4 linked regions of the Oryctolagus cuniculus genome follow. The protein of the gene in region 1 purifies or fractionates together with the protein of each later gene. This does not show direct contact. Links are inferred from orthologs where the notes say so. Each region holds a gene or a part of one and is shown on either strand. Other genes may lie near its edges. The genes, in order: PPM1K, BCKDHA, DBT and BCKDHB.

Region 1 (5,200 bases):
TCCAATTTTGTCATAAAAGGAAGTGAATTTCCTTTTTATACAGATGATAACCATCTTTATGGCCATTTTTATTCTAAATCCTATGAAGGCAGAGCTCATGCATTTTTCCTTGCTTAAATATCTAAGGATGTTCTCTTTTGGAACCTCTTCCTTTCTCTTGAAAGCAGTAAGGCCTTTCTATGGGAACCTAGCCTGGTTTCCAAAGTTCACTTACAAGCAATTGTTTGAAATCTTTAATGCATTTTCTCACAAATGCCCTCAAACTGAGTTTTATATGTGTGTGTTTATACTTCTTTGATACCCTCTTTTTACCAAGTTCTCTTTTTTATTGTGAAATAATCCAAACCTACAATTGGGAATAATATAGCACCTGTATTCCCTCCACCAGCATTATCAAATCTTAATATTATACCATTATGGCAAGTTGATTCCTAACTCATAAATAATGGAACAAAGTACTATTGAGATTAATTTCTGCTTAGAACCTTGTTTGTATGGAAATTGCCAGAAAGACAGCTCTTCCTGCAAGAGTGTGGGACTTTTCCCTGATACATTCTGTAATGCCAAGAGAGTCCTTAGGGTTGAGCTTGAGAGAAGAGTCTACAAGTAGGGGTGCCAGGTAATAATTTTAAAGACACACAGTTTCAGGTGTGGGTGTGCTGCTAGAATTGGGGGAAAGGAAAGCTGCAGGTGCAGAGAAAATGCATGGTTCATCTGCTTAAACCTCAGTTGTTTGTCACAAATGCAGTGACACCGTTTCCTGAGACCTCTGCACCCAGCCCTCTCCATGAGAGTGTCTCCCACAAAGGCAGCATAGGAACTGGCCTATGGGTGTGTTTGCATGAACCGGTTTACATTAACCATGCAGATGGAAAATGAAGTATGTTGAGAAATCGTCAAACAAAACTCAGATCCTAAATTGTGTCTTTACGAAAACTTGGCTATTCTGTGTACAAGCTATTGTAAATATTCTGTGAACCAGTTACTTTTCCTTTTATTTTTAGCACTTTGGTGCTATCGTTAATATTTGCCCCTACCTTTTTTCAGAGCAGTGGAATTAATGAGAGGAGGAATATTTATTTCTACCCGTGTTGTATATTCTTGCTAGGCAAAGTGTGGCCTGAAGATCAGCAGCTCCTATTACCAGCATCCCAAGATCCACTTCATATCCAGTGAATCAGAATTTGCATTTTAAAAAGCACCTCCAATGATGGCATTTTAAAAAGCACCTGCAGCTTTCCTTTCCTCCAATGATGGCAGGTTAAGCTGGAGAGACAGGTTCAATCAAAAGTGCTCCTTGTCAGATTTTTGTTTTTACTGTGAATGGATAAGGCAAATGGAGCCATTTTTCATCCATTGTTATGAAAATCGGGCTTTTGGGTGCCTACAAAGTGCATAACATAAGTATAGTAAGTATTTCCTGTCAGGCCCAGATGGCCCTTGTTTTTGGTGCTGATATTCAGTTTGGCTCACAATTGCTGACCAAGCCCTCCTTCTCCCCAGGTACATCATTCTCTTGAAGACGGTCCACTATTGTCTGCCAACCTCCGCCTCTGTACTGAGTCCCCTGCAGCTGAGTGATGTCAACAGCTGCCTTAATCACTTTGGTTAGAAGTGGCGGGAACCAGGTGAGAAGGAGAGCGCTGCTGACCTCCCGCCTGCTGCAGGACGAGCGCCGCCTGCCGGCCACCTGCCACAGCTCCACCTCAGAGCCCAGGTGTTCTCGATTCGACCCGGACGGCAGTGGGCGTCCGGCCACCTGGGACAGTTTCGGGATCTGGGACAACCGCATTGACGAGCCAATTCTACTGCCCCCCAGCATTAAGTATGGCAAGCCGATCCCCAAAATCAGCCTGGAAAACGTGGGCTGCGCCTCGCACATTGGCAAACGGAAAGAGAATGAAGATCGATTCGACTTCGCCCAGCTGACAGATGAGGTCCTGTACTTCGCTGTGTATGACGGGCACGGCGGACCCGCAGCCGCTAATTTCTGCCACACCCGCATGGAGAAATGTATTCTGTACGTACCATGACTCTCATGAGACTCATTACTCATTACTGATGATCATTGCTGCCTCAGAACGTGTGTCTTGGGTGGGTGGTGCGGCCAGTGGTTTATGACCCACTGTGGCTGGCTGCTCTGCTGCTGACCCAGCTTCCTGCTAATGTACCTGGGAAGGCAGTGGATGATAACTCAAAATCTTGGGCTCCTGCCACACACATGGGAGACCCAGATGGAATTCTGGGTTCCTGGCTTTGGCCTGGCACAACCCTGCCTGTTACAGACATTTGGGGAGAAGGGAGCGAACCAGCAGAAGCTCTCTGTTTCTGTCAGCCTTTTAAGTAGATGAAAATAAACACACACACTCAAAAATCTTTAAAATACATGTCTTAATTCCCTGATGAAAGTAGATTCTGATGACCAGAATTTACAATATTTGACCCGTGATCATTTTGAGTGAATGGACGTAAAGTCCAGGAGTCTCCACAATGTTCATGGAAAATGTGTATTATGAAAAAAACTGTGCATGCATTTCAAAAATTTTTTGTACTGAAATAAACTTATCTTTTACTTCCATTTATGCATGAACGTGTTGAAATGCCTTATACACCAGCTAACCTGTGAGAAGCATTTACTCCTATCAATGCAGAGCCCATAGACTAGCTCTGAATACTGGACTTGCTGAAAAGTAACTTTGGATGGTTGGCATTAGTCGGGGGTGAGAGTGCATTTAATGCTGGTGTTTGGAGGACTTTCACTAGTTTATGTACCTCTAGCTAGTATTGTTGAGGTTCACACTCTTGCTAGAATTAAAACAAGGGGAAAACATGTGACGGAATTTTGACTATGTGTAATTCCTTGCCTTCCTGTGTACTGCAAGGTTGATGCATACTACTGTTTATCAGTTGATTTGTGCCTATTTTACCTCATTCCACAAAGAACTCTGAGGTTTAAGTTTCATATGAAGGAGTTCAGTGTCTCCAGCATTGTGGTCTTTATAAAGATTCATTCTTTAAGGATAGAGATCTGGACTTTAATTTTTGTGCTCTTAAAAGCTCATCACAGTGCCTGTGATTTGGTACCATAAAAGCTCAATAAACATCCCTAACTAGTAGCTCTTATGCATCTGAAAGGCAACTCTTGGGGTCCATTGAGTTGAGGGACTTTGCTAGACAGAGGGACTGTGACAAGAGAAACCTATGGTAAATGACTGGGGTTCTCTTTTCCTCCCCACAAAGGGATTTGCTTCCTAAGGAGAAGAACTTGGAAACTGTGTTGACCTTGGCTTTTCTAGAAATAGATAAAGCCTTTTCGAGTCATGCCCACCTGTCTGCTGATGGTATGTAAAACAATCACATTTTTCAGAGTCTTGGAGTCAAGGAGGGTACAAAAGAATTCATTGAAGTCCTTTAGGGGTGGGCATTTTAATGTATGCTTACTTGTGAGGAAGTTTATGTAGAAATGTTCTTACATAGTCACTGGGAATGCTGTTTGGAATCCAAACTAATGTCAGTTTTCATGTTTGGTTACTTACTGTATGCAAAAGAACTCATACTACCAGAGGATTTGGGGCTGTTTTGTTTTGTTTTTGAGGCATCTGCTGAAATACTCTGCAGGGAAAACACATTTATCTAGGACACTAAATGTCCAGACAAGAAGAAAAGTGCTAAAAGATCCCATGTAAGAAGGAACAATGGCTAATATGCACTAGTTTGTATAATTACAAGGAAGCTATTTTGCCCTCTCTTTTTTTGAAATTTATTTTATTTATTTGAAAGAGTTACAGAGAGAGGGTCTTCCATGCGCTGATTCACTCCTCAAATGGCTGCAATGGCCCTAGCGGAGATGATCAGGAGCCAGGAGCTTAAAAAAAAATGCACTACAGAAATGTCATATTCACAGTTTTCAGTTGGACTGCACAGGAATAGAAATTTTCCCCAGTTCACAGACAAGAAATTGAAGTTCAAAGAGAGTCAAAGATCAGTTCAGAGCTAGAGCTAGGGCTGGGATTTTCCTGACACCCAAAGTGATCTCTCACATTGATGTTTGATAACGAGGAGGAATTGTGATTGTAGGATGGCTCTATTTGCCATTTTTTAAAGTAATTTTTAAAAAGTCTATCTTTTAAATCTGTTTTTCCATGAATTTTTTTTTTTAGAAGCAGAAATAGAGCATGCTAAAAAGTGAACTTTCATCCACTAGGCCACTCTCCAAATGCCCACAACAGCTGGGAACCCACTTTAGGTTTCCCATATGGATGATAAGAGCAACAATTACTTGAGCCATGCTGTTGCCTCCCAGGGTCTGCAGTAGCAGGAAGCTGCAGTCAGGAGCAGAGCTGGGAATCAAACCCAAATACTCTGATCTGGGAAGGGCAAAACGTCTGCCTCTACTTACCATCTTGAGAGGTTTTCCTGCTCTCTCTCTTTCTCTCTTTTTTTTTTTTTTTTTTTTTTTAAGAGAACCTTATCTTATCATCACAGTCCTCAGCAAACATTACACTCCACCCTCCCGTTTTGTTCAGGGATTTATTTAGTTTGTAGGTGAGTTAGGCCCATTTTTCTTTTCTTCCATTCCTTTGGACTTTTTTCCCCTCTCATCTGGTCCCTCACCTTTAAGAAGATAGGAGTTGAAAAAGGGGGGATTTCACGCATAAGATTTAGCTTTTGTTTTTGAGTAAAACACAGGAAGGAGAAGAGGAAACAAAATGCCTTCTGATAGTTTCATTTTTGTAACTCTCTGAGTTCTGGTATGCTCTTATCTCATCTGTAACCAGTTTGTCTGTGAATGGGACTGTAGCTCACACCTGTGAGCTGTAGTGCAGGTGCTGAGCCCCAGCTGTTCTGCAAGCAGCTGCAGCTTAGTGCAAAGGTTTTCAGAAGAGAATGTTCAAGAATGTCAGGATGTGGCCAACAATCTAAGACATTAACCCTTCATGGGTGCAGCCAGGAGATAATTAAAACAATCACTGGTCGATTTGGTGTAGGGTATGAGAGGGAGTTTTGAACTAGAGAATTTATTTAACTTGCATATCTTAAACTTTCTAAATTTGGCTTTGTCACATAAAGCAGTTTACACACAAGTTACAGTTCTTTACACACAAGCAGTTGTGTAAAGAAATCAATCATAAAATAATTTTTAAACATGAAATTAAAACATTATTTATTCCCTCTGTCATATGCTTTGAGGTAATAATCC
Region 2 (5,732 bases), on another chromosome or scaffold:
AGGAGCCAGGTGCTTCTTCTGGTCTCCCATGGGGTGCAGGGCACAAGCACTTGGGCCATTCTCCACTGCACTCCCGGGCCACAGCAGAGAGCTGGCCTGGAAGAGGAGCAACCGGGACAGAATCTGGCACCCCAACTGGGACTAGAACCCGGGGTGCCGGCGCCGCAGGTGGAGGATTAGCCTAGTGAGCCGCAGCGCCAGCCACTTTTTTTTTTTTAAGATTTATTATTTATTTATTTGAAAGTCAGAGTTACACAGAGAGAGGAAAGGCAGAGAGGGGGAGGGGAGGGGAAGGGGAGGGGGAGGGGAGGGGGAGAGGGAGAGGGAGAGGTCTTCCATCTGATGGTTCACTCCCCAGATAGCTGCAATGGCTGGAGCTGTGCCAATCTGGAGCCGGGAGCTTCTTCTGGGTCTCCCATGTGAGTGCAGGGACCCAAGGACTTGGGCCATCTTCTACTGCCTTCCCAGGCCTTAGCAGAGAGCTGGACAGGAAGTGGAGCAGCCAGGTCTCGAACAGGTGCCCACACTTCAGGGCTGGGCTTTAACCCACTGCGCCACAGTGCCGGACCCAGCTACTCCACTTCTGATACAGCTTCCTGCTAATGCGCCTGGGAAACAAGTGGAGAATGGCCCAAGTGCTTGGGCCCTGCCACCATGTGGGAAACCCAGATGGAGCTCCAGGCTCCTGGCTTCAGCCTGGCCCAGCCCTGCCCATTACAGCCATTTGGGGAGAGATCCAGCAGATGGAAGATCTCTCTAACTCTACCTTTCAAATAAATCTCTTTAAAGAAGAAGGGCCGGTGCAGTGGGGTAGCAGGTTAAGTCACCACACACAGTGCTTGCATCCCACGTGGGCATGGGTTCGAGTCCCAGCTGCTCTGCTTCTGATGCAGCTCCCTGCTAATCCCTGGGAAAGCAGCAGAAGATGGCCTAAATATTTGGGCCTCTGCACCCACGTGGGAGACCCAGAAGAAGCTTCTGGTTCCTGGCTTTGAATCAGCCCAGTTCATGACCCTGTGGCCATGTAGGGAGTGAACCAGCAGATGGAATATATCTCTCTGTCTCTCCCTCTATATATAACTCTGCCTTTCAAATCAATAAAACAAATATTTTTTTTTTTAAATAAGGAAGTTAGTTAGTTCTACTGGACAACCCTGGCCTAGAATCTTCTTTAACTAAAGCTATGGCTCCAGGCTGGTGCTGTGGCATAGTAGCCTCTGCCTGCAGCACTGGCGTCACATATAAGCCCCGGTTCCTGTCCTGGCTGTCCTCTTCCAATCCAGCTCCCCGTTAATGGCCTGGGAAAGCAGTGGAAGATGCCCAACTGCTTGGGCCCCTGCATCCAGGGTGGGGTGGGGACTTGGAAAAAGCTCCTGGCTTTGGACTGGCCCAGCTCCGGCCATTGCAGTCATCTGGGGAGTGAACCAGCAGATGAAAGACCTCTCTGTCTCTCCCTCTCTTGGTCTATAGCTCTCTCTCTCAAATAAAATCTTGGGGCTGACGCTGTGGTGTAGCAGGTAAAACCGCCCTCTACAGTGCCAGCATCCCATATGGGCACCAGTTCAAGTCCCGGCTTCTCCACTTCCGATCCAGCTCTCTGCTATGGCCTGGGAAAGCAGTAGAGGATGGTCCAAGTCCTTGGGCCCCTGCACCTCATGGGAGACCTGGAGGAAGCTCCGGGTTCCTGGCTTCGGATTGGCGCAACTCCGGCCGTTCAGGACAAGTGGGGATGAGACAGCGGATGGAAGATCTCTCTCTCTCTCTGCCTCTCCTTCTCTCTGTGTAACTCTGACTTCCAAATAAATAAATATATATTCAAAATAAATAAATAAAATCTTGTAAAAAAGAAATGCTATGTCCCTTCTCTACACTAAAAAAGTGGAGCCTCTTTTTAAAATCTTAGGTGGCAAAAATACAGGTGGGAGACAGTGACTCTAAGAAAATATAAATTGGGGCCAGCGCTGTGGCGTAGCAGGTAAAGCCACTGCCTGCAACGCCGGCATCCCATATGGGCGCCACTTTGAGTCCCGGCTGCTCCACTTCCCATCCAGCTCTCTGCTATGGCCTGGGAAAGCAGTGGAGGATGGCCCAAGTGCTTGGGAGACCTGGAAGTTCCTGGCTCCTGCCTTCGAATTGGTGCAGCTCCAGCTGTTTTGGCCATTTGGGGAGTGAACAAGCGGATGAAAGACCTCTCTCTTTCTGCCTCTGCCTAATAAATAAATAGATCCTTTAAAAAAAAAAAAAAAGAAAATATAAATCAAGATATACATAAACAGGGCCAGCATTGTGGTATAGCAGGTAAAGCCGCAACCTGTGACACCAGCATCTCACTTTCCCAGCTGCAGCACCTCAGATCCGGCTCCCTGCTACTGCGCCTGGGAAAGCAGTGGAGGGTGGCCCAAGTGCTTGGGCCTGCACCCGCAGGGGAGACCTGGAGGAAGCTCCTGGTTCCTGGCTTCAGCCAGGCCCAGCCCCAGCCCCAACCATTGCAGCCATCTGCGATGTGAACCAGCAGAAGGAAGATCTTATCTTTCTCTCTCTACCGGACTTTCAAATAAATACATCTTTAGAAACTTAACTAAGTAAACATATATAAATAAAAGTATGAGTATCCGTCCCCCCCCCAAAAAAAAATGAAGGCAGGCAGGCAACAAGGAGACTGAGCCAACAGAAACAGGTTTAATCAGACACAAACGACCTTCCCCTGGCCTGCCCCAGTCTGCCCACCTCCCACCCGACTTGCCCAGCCAGTGGGCTCTCGGGAATGAGGTCAACGGTAGAGGCTCTGACTGCTTTAAAAAAAAAAAAAAAAAAAAAAACACTACAAGAGAACAGCCCCAAGGCAGAAGGCTGCCCCGCCCCCTGCACCTGCGCCTCCTCGGCCTCTACCTGCTTCAGGTGATTCTCTTCCAAGCATTCACACCCTTCTTCCCTCCTTTCTATCAGAGATTCCCCCTACGGTTTCCCCTCCCTGCCTCACACACTGGGGCTCAGACCCAACCCCACAGTTCAAGCCACCTCCTTTCCGCTCCCCTCGCCAAGGTCGCGCCCCGACACTCCTGTTGCAGGGCTGGTTCTCACACCTCGCGTGTTTTCACAACCACCCCCTAAGGGTTCACCGAGGGGCACGGCAGGGCTGTGAGCCCCCCGGGCTGTAGCTCAGGCCCTTCCCTGGTCCACGTCAGCCCCTCTCCCCACCAGAGGGTCCGCGGGGCGACTTTACCCCAAGCGGCTTCTACCAGAAGGCCCTCGGACCCTTTGGACAAGAAATAAAAATTCCTCAAGGATTTTCGAGAAATGTGGGCAGATGCCCCGGCCGGTCCTCTCCTCCCTCGTAAATTCAACAAATACTTATGGCTGCCCTCCTCGGTAGCGTCCCAAGCACAGTCAAGTCCCTGCCTGCCGACGTCCCCTCAGGGCACGCAGGAGTCCATGGCTTCCTCCCACGACTCGTCTTAAACCGAGAACTGAGGCGAAGGAGCAAAGAAATGAAGACCCCATACAAGCCCGCGACTGGACCGCATTCCTCCTTTCTCGGCTTGGACGAGAACGTCCATCCACAAGAAACTCTCCCCTGGCCACGTCAGTCCGTTCTCCAGCCCCTGAGGGACACGGTCTCGCCGTCCCCGCGCCCCGCCGAGCGAGAAGACCTACCCTTACGCCTCCCTCAGAGCCCGCAGAGGGGCGACCTCGCCTTTCCCCTCCTCAGTGGAAGCTCCTCCCTCGCGAGGCCCCTCCGCGCGCTCTCCCAATCCTTTTTCGCTTCCTTGATTGCCAGCCCTTGCTGCATACCCTGCAGGTGACGCTCCGAAGAGGGTCTTTACGGCCCTATTACTCCTTAGGGAAAACTTCCAGGGGCCCCAAGTACTCACGGATCTAGTCAGCCCCCGCGCCCCAAGCTGCCGCAGCAACAGGGGCACAGCCTGGCGCCTAGGCCCCCAGACCCTCGCCGCGGAAATCGCTAACGCCATCTTGACTTACAACCCACTCGGCGACCCGCCCCCTCCTTTAACCTAGACCGGGGGCTGCCCTTTCATGAGCCTGATTCAATTGCCAGCACCACTGTGACATAGAACACCTGCTTCCAGTCCCACTTACGCCAGTACGCGTAAATGTGTGAGGAAGGTGAATTATTTTTTCCAAAATTACTCAGATAGCCCCGTTGTAGTTGATCATGTAAACAGGCAAAGAAGAGGGCAACCTTATCAGGACGCCCGAGGTTTAAGGCCCGGGGGCCTTGGGTAGGACGAGCCCGTGCCAAAGCCCGCCCCCTTTCCTCTATTGTCCAATGGCTTTGCCTTAGTGGGGAGGCGGGGAGCGGACGGAGTCATATTTGTTTGTAAACCCTAACCCACGTGCGCGCGCCCAGTTAGCCAGCGGACCCACGCATGCGCACTGGGTACGCAACTTGCGCGCAAGCGCACTCTGCTGGGCGGAAGCGACGGTCCGGCCTGCACGTGGGCTCTGGGACTATGGAGGGGGTGGTGGCTGCTGGCGCCAATGCCCACGCTGACACTGGGACAGAGTGTCGCTCTCGGGGCCCTGGCTGCAGCCTCCGGCACTTTGCTTGCGAACAGAACCTGCTGTCCAGGCCGGATGGCTCTGCTTCTTTCCTGCAAGGTAAGAACTTAACCCAGGTGCGTACCGCCCCGGTCACGTTCACCCATTTGGTGTTTGTGTGGGAGAGCGGGCTATGGAACACTGAGGCCGACCTCGCCGCTATGCGAGCTGGCCCCTGCCTCTCCTTCACTGCCGCGGAACGTATTGCTCGGGTGGATACTACCGGATCCACCGCATACACACGTCCCCCTCCAGACCGGGAGGGAGCGCTCTCTACCCCCGCAAGAATGACTTCCAGAATTCGGAAGGTCTTATCCGGGTAAATCACCTCCGTTTACTAGATCCGCGCCCCTCTCAGCCTGTTTGCATAAATGCCGCGTAGAGTAGGCGGGTCATCGCCGTGGGTTTAATTCCTCCCTAGAGCGGGGCACATATTACCCCCCAAGTATAGTATAGATGACGCCCTCACCTTTGACAGGTACTCCCCTACTCCCACCCCACCAAGTGAGCGAATATCCGCATCTTTCCATGCGAGTAAATGAGCGTAGACAGAAAAGAGAAGAGGTCCCAGCACTAACCCCCGGGCCCCCCCAACTTTGAGAGCTCCCGGAAGTGTGAAGAGCTCGCCCAGCGGCAGGTGCGGCAGGGGACGAATCAGGAGACGGAGGTGTCCCGGAGGCGAGAGGAAGGGTGTGAGATGAAAGGGCCGCCCAGTTGTTCCGGTCTGAAAGGGGGGCTGATCTCGGGAGGGTTGAGCCGCTGGGGGTCCTTGGTGAAGCTCCAGGCTGCGGCAGCGGAGTGGTGGGGCCGGGAGGGGAGGAAGAAGAGACGTGAGTGGAGACTGCTCTCAAGGACTGCTTCTGTGAGAAGGGCTGGGAGTGGGGCAGCAGTTGGTGATGGATGCGGGGTGGAGAGAAGAGACTTGGCAGAGCCGTGGCCTGGAAGCCGGGAGTGGAGGGAGGCCGGTCCGTGTACCGGTGGGACAGGCAGGAGTGAAGACCCCAGCAAGGACCTGGTTCCGCTCAGGTGCCTCCTCCGGGTGGACAGATTCTCCCCGAACTAAGAGCACCCCGGGGTGAGGGCAAACTGGGTCTCCCAGGAGCAGAACCCCCCCCCCCCGGTTGTCTCTTCCCTGGAGACTTGCCCAGCCCTCCTCCAGCTTGGCTGTCTTG
Region 3 (5,200 bases), on another chromosome or scaffold:
CTGGTTCCTGCCATCGGATCAACACGGTGCGCCAGCCGCAGCAGCCATTGGGGGGTGAACCAATGGAAAAAGGAAGACCTTTCTCTCTGTCTCTCTCTCTCTCTATCTACTCTGCCTGTCAAAAAAAAAAAAAATAAATAATTTATTTAAAAGCTACAAGCCTTTTTTTTAAAGTATAACAATTTAGAAATTCAGTGAGAAATCAGTTGTTTAAATGTATTGTTCCTATACATTAACCAAATTTTTTGTTTTATATTATTTACCATCATAAAAATTCATATTTATGAATATGTATTAAATGTAACTAGAATATATAATGTATATTATAATGTAGTATAACTTTAGAATTTAAGGACTAATTGCCACTAATGTACTGATAAACTTATTTGTGTGTTTGGGTAATTCTTGTTTTTGTTTTTTTTTTAAAGATTTATTTATTTATTTGAAAGAGTTACAGAAGAGAGAGGGAGAGACAGAGCAAAGTCTTCCGTCTGCTGGTTCACTCCTCAAGTGGCTGCAATGGCCAGTATTGAGCCAGGCCAAGCCAGGAGCTTCATCAGTCTCCCTTGTGGGTGGTGGGTGGCCATCTTCTGCTGTTTTCCCAAGCCGTTAGCAGGGAGCTGGATCAGAAGTGCAGCAGCCAGGACATGAACTGGCACCCATGTGGGATGCTGGCGTTGCAGGCAGCAGCTTTACCCTACGTCTCAACACCAGCCCCTGATACCCTTTTTGGTAAAGTAAAAGTGACTGTCTCCTGAATAAATGAAAGAATTTCAAATACATACCAGAAGGTTAGGAATTTCTATAGTTTTTGTTAAAAGTATGATTTAGCTAATCAGGTATTAATATTAGCAACAGTGAATTTTAACTTTCAAGATATGATACTGTAGTTTTTAAGTAGTTAGATTTTAATATAGACTTGAATACATTCAGGACCACTCATTTCTATAGCATTACATTATGCTAAAGTATCATATAAAATAGTTAAATCTAAAGAGTCTACTATAAAGTATGATACAAAAAATCTGAGTAGAAATTATACATGTTTTCTAGTATCTTCACTTGCTAACAGTTACTTCAGAGTTTTTTAGTTGTATTTCAGGAAGTCTAATTGCTTAAGATATGGGCTGGTGTGTTTGTTTATACAGAACATATTGTTAAAAACACTTTCATAAGGAATTTTGGTCAAGGATCACAAACATATGAACAAATTTGACTCTGAAGTTACAGTATTACAAACAAAAGAATAACAAAATGTTCTGTGTAGGCTAGGGTTTGAATTTCTTTGACTTCTTAGAAATATAGATACCATACTTCAGAAACTGTCATATACTTCATAAATTGTCATTGCTACGAAGTATTCTGGTTTTGGCTTAGGTAATTTCATATTTATATTGTGTTAGCAATTGTCTTACTAAATAATGGAATTGAAATTCAATACATACTTAAATAATCCATAAGTTCATTTATAAATACTTTTACATTTTGTTTTCTCACCTGTAGATTTGTGTTCGCTCTTTTCAAACACGTGGTATTGTTCATGTTTTGAAGCCAAAATGTGTGTATTTCTTCGGTTATCCTTCATTCAACTACAGTCATCCACATCACTTGCTGAAAACGACCGCTGGTAAGTATGATCTCAAGATAACATATATAAAGTAATGTGTTATATCTTATTCAGTACTTAGTAATCAAAGATTCATCAAAGTAAAAAATGCTGGCCCTGAACCCCACGTACTTCTGCCCTGACTCTCTCCATGTCTATCCATTACCCATTTTCTTTTTTCTTGCCTCCACTCCTACACTCCCAGCCCCTAACTTCTCCTTCCCCTGTCACCTTTCACATACTTTTCTTAATACTTGTGTCTTCATAATGTTAGAATTGGGTTGTGTTGGGCCATCTATTCTTTATCATCTGACTCATCTAAATGCAATAGTTAGCATTGATATGACCTTCTCAGTCAACATAAATCATAGACTTAATAGAAGTGTCTTTGTGTCATTGTACACACCATGGTATTGTTTGGTGAATGAAGCACTTAATCTGTGATTTTAACATGGTCTGATGAAACCAGTCTTAAACACTCCTGAACAGAAAGTTTCCTGCTATTATGCTTTACTTACCTTTTGCCCAACTTTTTCTACTCTCTATAAAGAACTTGAAGATTGATTTGGCAAGGGCATAAGAACATTTTTTTCTGATGTTCTGTTTAAAACCCTGATAAAGGACCCTAGACTTCTGTTATATGGCTAAGCTTTGGACAGATAATAGGGCCTTACTCTGTGCTCACAGGGAAAAATAGGGAATTCCGTGCAGATATCACCCTTGAGTTCAATTTCTCCATGCTTTTTTTTTTTTTTTAAGATTTATTTATTTTTTTGAAAGTCAGAGTTACACAGAGAGAGAAGAAGAGGCAGAGAGAAAGAGAGGTCTTCCATCTGCTGGTTCACCTCCAAATTGGCTGCAACAGCCAGAGCTGTGCCAATCTGAAGCCAGGAGCCAGGAGCTTCTTCCAGGTCTCCCACATGGGTTCAGAGGCCCAAGGACTTGGGCCATCTTGTACTGCTTTCCCAGGCCATAGCAGAGAGCTGGATCAGAAGTGGAGCAGCCAGGTCTTAAATCGGTGCCCATATGGGATGCCGGCACTGCAGGTGGTGGCTTTATCTGCTTTGCCACAGTGCCAGCCCCTCCATGCTTTTTTTTTTTTTTTTTTAAGATTTATTTACTTATTGAAAGGCAGAATTACAGAGAGAGAGAGAGACAGAGACAGAGACAGAGAGACAGGTCTTCCATCCGCTGGTTCACTCCCCAAATGGCTGCAATAACTGGAATTGGGCCATTCTGAAGCCAGGAGCCAGGTGCTTCTTCCTGGGTCTCCCACATGGGTGCAGGGGCCCAAGCACTTGGGCCATCTTCAACTGCTTTCCCAGGCCACAGCAGAGAACTGAATAACTGGATTAGAAGTGGAACAGCTGGGTCTCGAGCTGGTGCCCACATAGGCTGCCAACACTGCAGGTGGCAGCTTTACCTGCTATGCCGCAGAGCTGGCCCCTCCATGTTTTTTATCTGCCTTCCTTTACCTCAGCCTAAGGCATGTAAACCTTATTTTCACTTTTTTTAAAAAATATCTGTATTTTTTAAAAGTTAATTTTGTTGTTGTTGTTGTTGGGCTAGAAGCTATTCAAACAGAAACTCCAGCTTCCTTCTACAGCCTCTGATCATTTATCATGACCTTTGAGTTCCTGGATCCACTAATTCCAGGCTACTTGGGTTCCTGGTTTGCCAGTTTCTAGCTGTGTAACTGAGCAAGTTATTTAAGTTTTCTCAGTTTCATCATTTTCAAAATGGAAGCATTCATAATATTTAGCTCATTGTATAATAAGAATTTATTCATTCAACAACAGATACTTATTGATCGCCTGCTATGTGCCAAGGCAGTAGTTGAGGTAGCTGGGATATATCAATAATCAAAACAAAGATCCTTATACCTGGGTGGATTAAATAAATTAAAATATGTGAAGTATTTAGTACATACTTCCTCTAGACACTCATATTCTCTCTCTCTCTCTCTCGTTGTCCTGGCTCCAGTGCTCAACACTGATCACTGTTTTGATTTCTTTTTTTTAAAGATTCCTGTTTTTTTAAGATTGATTTATTTATTTGAAAGGCACAGTTACAGAGAGAGCAAAAATCTTCAATCTATTGGTTCACTCTCCAGATGGCTACAACAGCCAACTATAGTCCAGGCCACAGCCAGGAGCCTGGAACACCATTCAGGTCTCCCACATGGGTAGCAAGAGCCCAACCAAGCACTTAAGTGTTCTGCTGCTGCTTTCCTAGGTGCCTTAGCAAGGAGCTAGATTGGAAGTAGAGCAGCTGAAACTCAAATTGGCATTGCAGGCAACAGCTTGACCCATTGCATCAATGCCAGCCTTGATCATTCTTCATCTTGTGTGTTTTTCCCTCTTTTTTAAAAAAAGATTTATTTATTTGAAAGAGCAACAGAGAGGGAGGAGAGACAGAGAAGAGGGATCTTATATCGTCTGGTTCACTTCCCAAATGATCTCAACAGCCAATCTCGGCCAGGCTGAAACCAGGAGCCAAGAAATCCATCCTAGTCTCCCACATACTTGACAGGGGCCCAAGTACTTGGGCCATCTTTTGCCACCTTCCCAGGCAGGTTAGCAGTAAGCTGGATAAAAAAAAGAGTAGCTGGGGCTTGAACTAGCAGTCTGATGTGGGATGCCAGTGTTGCAAGTGGTGGCCCAACATGTTGCACAACCCAGGCCCCTGTTTCTCTCCTAAATTTCAGTCTTTTGTAGGATCCTATCCTTGGCCCTCCCATCTTCTTGTGTCACTTTTACAGATATACCTTCACCTACTACATATTGAACGTTCTGAATCTGTAGCTCTCAGACCTCACCAATTGTTGCTATGTATCTCCATTTCAATATCGCATGTATAACTCAAACTCCTCAAACTCAGTTTTATACAAATTTCCTCTTCTTCCTGTATTGCTTAAATCAATGAGTCAAGCTGGAAACCTGTAGTCAGCGTGACTCCTCTCTCACATCATATTGTTTACCAAAACCTGATCAATTTTACATTTCATACAAGGGATCTTCTAGAAGTTCACGGAAATTGTGCATTATCAAAAATCATGCATCAGTTTCAAAAATTGTGGCACCAAAACAGCCTTATCTGTTCAGTCCATTTTCCACAAACTTTATGAACTACCTTCTTATGTTTCTTAAATTTGTCTTATCCTTTTCAGTAAGCTTTGAAAAATATCTAAAAATAAGCTCCAAACCACATCTGAATGTACTTTATGTAAGGATATACTCCGTACTTTGGTTGCTTACCTTCAGTAGACCCTTGCTTCCCCTGCCTCATTTTGCTTCTGCCATTCCCTTCCCAACCTTATCCACCATGCACAGATTTTTTTTTTCCTGAAATGATAGGCTTAAAGTCACAGATCTGATATTGTAGATGGGACTCTGTGTTGTTGTTGTTGTTTTCCCATGATTGATTTACTTATTTGAAAGGCAGAATTAGAGGAAGAGTCAGGGAGAGGGAGAGATATCTTATATCTGCTGGTTTACTCTCCCAAATGATCACAACAGCCAGGGCTGGGTCAGGCCAAAACCAGGAGCCTGGAACTCCCTCCAGTTTCTTACATAGGTGGTAAAGGTCCAAGCA
Region 4 (3,996 bases), on another chromosome or scaffold:
TAACAACAGGAGCCACTGTGTACTAACTTCCCATGCAGGACCTCTGTCCTCAAAGAGTTGTATTATAATTATGTCTAAGTGCTTGCATAAGATGTATCATTCTTGGGTGCTTCTTAAAGTTAATTACGTTTCTAAGAAAAAAAAGAAGTGAAATTAACTTCAAAATGCAATGACTCTGAACAGCCCTTGTCTTGACTATTGAGGAAAAGGGTTTTGTTTTGTTTTGCTTTTTGCAAATTGTTGAAGTCTTTACTTAGTGTATAGTTGGTCTTCTGTGTATACAGTTAATCAAAAGTGGATCTTAGTGGAGAATGGGACTGGGAATGGGAGAGGGAGGTGTGGAGGAGTGGGAGTGTGTGGGAGGGTAGGTATGGTGGGAAGAATCACTATATTCCTAATATTGTACTTATGAATGCATGAAGTTTATATTCCTTAAATAAAAGGTTTCTTTGGGAAAAACAAGGAAATATTCTTTAAAAAATTTTAATTGTATGAGATGAACAAATTTCAAATATATAGATTTAAGAGCATCATGATACGTCCCACCTGACCCTCTCTCCCACCCATGCTTCTACCCTCCCTCCTCTTCCTTTCTTTTTACTTGTAATTTTTACAATAACATACTTTAGTTTATTTTACAATCACAAGCTTAACCCTCTACTAAATAAAGAATTCAGCCAGGAGAAAGTAGAATTGAAATTGACCATCTTGATTCTTTTCTGCAGGAAGAATGTTTCTTGAATCTAGAGGCTCCTATATCTAGAGTATGTGGGTATGACACACCATTTCCTCACATTTTTGAGCCATTCTATATCCCAGACAAATGGAAGTGCTATGATGCCCTTCGAAAAATGATCAACTATTGACCAAATAGGTAAGTAAGTATGCTCTGCATTTTGTGCAAACTAATGTGTGTCATTGACATTAATGTGCTGTACACCAAGGACTAGCAATCACCAGTGTGCTGTCAGAGGCTTCTTCATAAAGCTCACAGAAAATGCCTATTTAATGACACAACTGTGCATGGGTTTCAAAGGTTTTTTTTTTTATACCAAAATAAACTTACCTTTAATTCCATTTTCCATGAACTTTTGAAGTACCTTTGACTTTTGGTAATCTGCAACTTTCATAACAAACTGTGTACTTCAGAAAATAATTCAAATTTATACTAGTGTGTTTACACTTGCTAGAAACCTAGCACAAATCTGCTTTATGTGATTTCTAGAAAACAGAAACATATGTATGCTAGTCATTAGATAAAGATGCTCTCTGCCAGGGTTTAGATTGCAGACATACCTTACAGCACAGCTCCTCCTTTTGCCTTCATTTATGGATATTTTTTCAACTATTTAAAGTGCTCATGAATAAAAGTAATTTATATTATTTAAAAATGGTCCCTTAAACATCACTAATTAGGGCTCATATCAAAAATGAATTGATAGATACTTTATATTTTAACATCTATATTTTCCAAAAATAATAATTATATTGGAGAAGCAAGATTTTTCAAAGACAAAAGAATAATGATCTCCATATAATGGTGCATACTAAGTGTTTTAAAGATAAGAAATGCTGTAATTCTTGGATTCCGCGTATGGATTCCAAAGCTAGTACCTGAAACCAGAGAGAGACGCTTTACAAATGTACAGAAAGAGAAAATAGTACCCCTCTCCTCTCTGGCTTCTGTGCTGCCATACGCCTGCAGTGTTAGTGGTTCTATTCTGACGCTGGTATGGGTATGAACCAGGGCTCATTAGTCCACATACCCCTGGTAAGCTCTCAGCCATGCAGATGTAGATGCTGATTTCTAATCTCTTCTCAATGTCTGTGAAAGCTGCTGGCTTCTACAATAAATTATACTCAGGCCAGCTTATGTGGACTTCTTGGCTTTCGTTGTCCACGCTGTTGTTCCATGGACCATCTGCAATGGAGAGTCGAGGTAATAATTGCAGCCATGTGCCTCGTTGCTATTTTTAAAGTCAGATTTAGATACTGGTATTACATTTGTATGGTGTATTTTTTCTTAACCATTAGAAAAACATTGAAACCTCTACTGAAAATATAATAAAAACAGTAACTTTTGTATGCAGAAGTTGAAGAGGATATTAAAGAAACTAGTTATCCATGCAGTTCAGAATGCATGTAATTGTTACCAATTTCTTTTACAGGGAAACTGGAAGATTGTGACTAGATATGGAAATATTTTTCTGAAATTTTTTATATTTCCTCAGATTTATCCATTCTTGAAAAAAGAGATTTTATGAAATGAATCATTGTGGATATTGGCCAAGAAGTTATAAATTAATTATTGTATAACACATGAATCGATGATTTCCATTAAGTGTGTTTCAGATTAACATTTTAAAATGTTTCAAATGATGGTCTTTTAAATTCGGTGTAGTGCCACCTATAATTACTGAATGTGAGATGGTATTCAATAAAACAAAAATCAGGTTGTCCTCAGTTTGTGTGTGTGTCATTTGTCCACTAGTAAAACAATTTTTATTACAGAACAATAGATTGCTAATTTGTTAGATTTGTGTTAAAGTGAAACATTTACTTTACAAATGCTGATTTTTCTTATTAACAAATAATTTGTTTATTAAACATTTTGTTAAAATACAGTATACATACCAAGAAATGGATATAAGTGTAAAGATCAATGAGTTTTTGTCATCCAGTCACACTCATAACCAACCCCCAAATTAAAAACAAAGTAGGGGCCGGCGCTGTGGCGCAGCGAGTTAACGCCCTGGCCTGAAGTTCATCCCATATGGCTGCCGGTTCGAGACCCGGTTGCTCCACTTCCAATCCAGCTCTCTGCTATGGCCTGGGAAAGCAGTAGGAGATGGCCCAAGTCCTTGGGCCCTTGCACCTGCGTGGGAGACCCGGAAGCAGTTCCTGGCTCCTGGCTTTGGATCAGCAAAGCTCCAGCTGTTGTGGCCCGTTGGGGAGTGAACCATCAAATGGAAGACCTCTCTCTCTCTCTCTCTCTCTCTCTCTCTCTCTCTCTGCCTCTCCTTCTCTCTGTAACTCTGACTCTCAAATAAATAAATAAATCTTAAAAAAAAAAAAACCAAAGTATTACTAAGTACCCCAAGTTCTCACTCTACTTCTCTCTCCCTTTATTTTTTTTTGGAGTGTGTTAAATAAGAGCATATTGTCATTTAAATCCTATATCCTATGATTCAGTGAAGCAATATCTATAACTACATGGCAAGTGATTTTTTTTTATTTTTTTAACTTTTATTTAATGAATATAAATTTCCAAAGTACAGCTTATGGATTACAATGGCTCCCCCCCCCCATGACTTCCCTCCCACCCGCAACCCTCCCCTTTCCTGCTCCCTCTCCCTTTCCATTCACATCAAGATTAATTTTCAATTCTCTTTATATACAGAAGATCATTTAGCATACATTAAGTAAAGATTTCAACAATTTGCACCCACATAGAAACACAAAGTGAAAAATACTGTTTGAGTACTAGTTATAGCATTAAATCACAATGTACAGCACATTAAGGACAGAGATCCTACATGAGGAGTAAGTGCACAGTGACTCCTGTTGTTGACTTAACAAATTGACACTCTTGTTAATGGCCTCAGTAATCACCCTAGGCTCTTGTCATGAGTTTCCAAGGCTATGGAAGCCTTTTGAGTTCACCGACTCTGATCATATTTAGACAAGGTCGTAGTCAGAGTGGAAGTTCTCTCCTCCCTTCAGAGAAGGTACCTCCTTCTTTGATGATCCGTTCTTTCCACTGGGATCTCACTCGCGGAGATCTTTCATTTAGGTCAATTTTTTTTATGGCAAGTGATTTGAAACCCACACAATGTTTATCCTCTGCCTGTATATTACCCACCACAAATAAGAAAGAATGTGATATTTTTCTTTTTGAATCTGGCTTATTTCACTTAGCATAGTGATCTCCAGTTGCATCCATTTTTTGCAAATGTCAGAATTTCATTCTTCTTGTTTGATTCAGTTCTTCATGAC

The links.
Region 2: the proteins of PPM1K (region 1) and BCKDHA purify together in Homo sapiens (affinity purification with mass spectrometry; 4 studies listed by BioGRID and IntAct, counting the BioPlex papers as one, with this or other methods). This does not show direct contact. The link is inferred for Oryctolagus cuniculus from reciprocal best matches to the Homo sapiens genes PPM1K and BCKDHA.
Region 3: the proteins of PPM1K (region 1) and DBT purify together in Homo sapiens (affinity purification with mass spectrometry; 4 studies listed by BioGRID and IntAct, counting the BioPlex papers as one, with this or other methods). This does not show direct contact. The link is inferred for Oryctolagus cuniculus from reciprocal best matches to the Homo sapiens genes PPM1K and DBT.
Region 4: the proteins of PPM1K (region 1) and BCKDHB purify together in Homo sapiens (affinity purification with mass spectrometry; 3 studies listed by BioGRID and IntAct, counting the BioPlex papers as one, with this or other methods). This does not show direct contact. The link is inferred for Oryctolagus cuniculus from reciprocal best matches to the Homo sapiens genes PPM1K and BCKDHB.

Annotation. Positions count from the first base shown.
Region 1 is NC_091439.1:77,356,303-77,361,502, forward strand, and holds part of PPM1K (protein phosphatase Mn(2+)-dependent 1K), read left to right. Parts: intron 1-1,503; 5' UTR 1,504-1,580; coding exon 1,581-2,020; intron 2,021-3,240; coding exon 3,241-3,341; intron 3,342-5,200. UniProt on the Homo sapiens protein: Serine/threonine-protein phosphatase component of macronutrients metabolism.
Region 2 is NC_091449.1:13,103,694-13,109,425, forward strand, and holds the start of BCKDHA (2-oxoisovalerate dehydrogenase subunit alpha, mitochondrial), read right to left. Parts: upstream 4,025-5,732; 5' UTR 3,972-4,024; coding exon 3,873-3,971; intron 3,678-3,872; exon of another isoform or gene 3,655-3,677; intron 1-3,654. Other genes in the region: EXOSC5 (exosome complex component RRP46), read left to right, coding at 4,389-4,620. UniProt on the Homo sapiens protein: Together with BCKDHB forms the heterotetrameric E1 subunit of the mitochondrial branched-chain alpha-ketoacid dehydrogenase (BCKD) complex.
Region 3 is NC_091438.1:70,078,063-70,083,262, forward strand, and holds part of DBT (lipoamide acyltransferase component of branched-chain alpha-keto acid dehydrogenase complex, mitochondrial), read left to right. Parts: intron 1-1,503; coding exon 1,504-1,627; intron 1,628-5,200. UniProt on the Homo sapiens protein: The branched-chain alpha-keto dehydrogenase complex catalyzes the overall conversion of alpha-keto acids to acyl-CoA and CO(2).
Region 4 is NC_091436.1:92,094,239-92,098,234, reverse strand, and holds the end of BCKDHB (2-oxoisovalerate dehydrogenase subunit beta, mitochondrial), read left to right. Parts: intron 1-725; coding exon 726-866; 3' UTR 867-874; intron 875-2,168; 3' UTR 2,169-2,463; downstream 2,464-3,996. UniProt on the Homo sapiens protein: Together with BCKDHA forms the heterotetrameric E1 subunit of the mitochondrial branched-chain alpha-ketoacid dehydrogenase (BCKD) complex.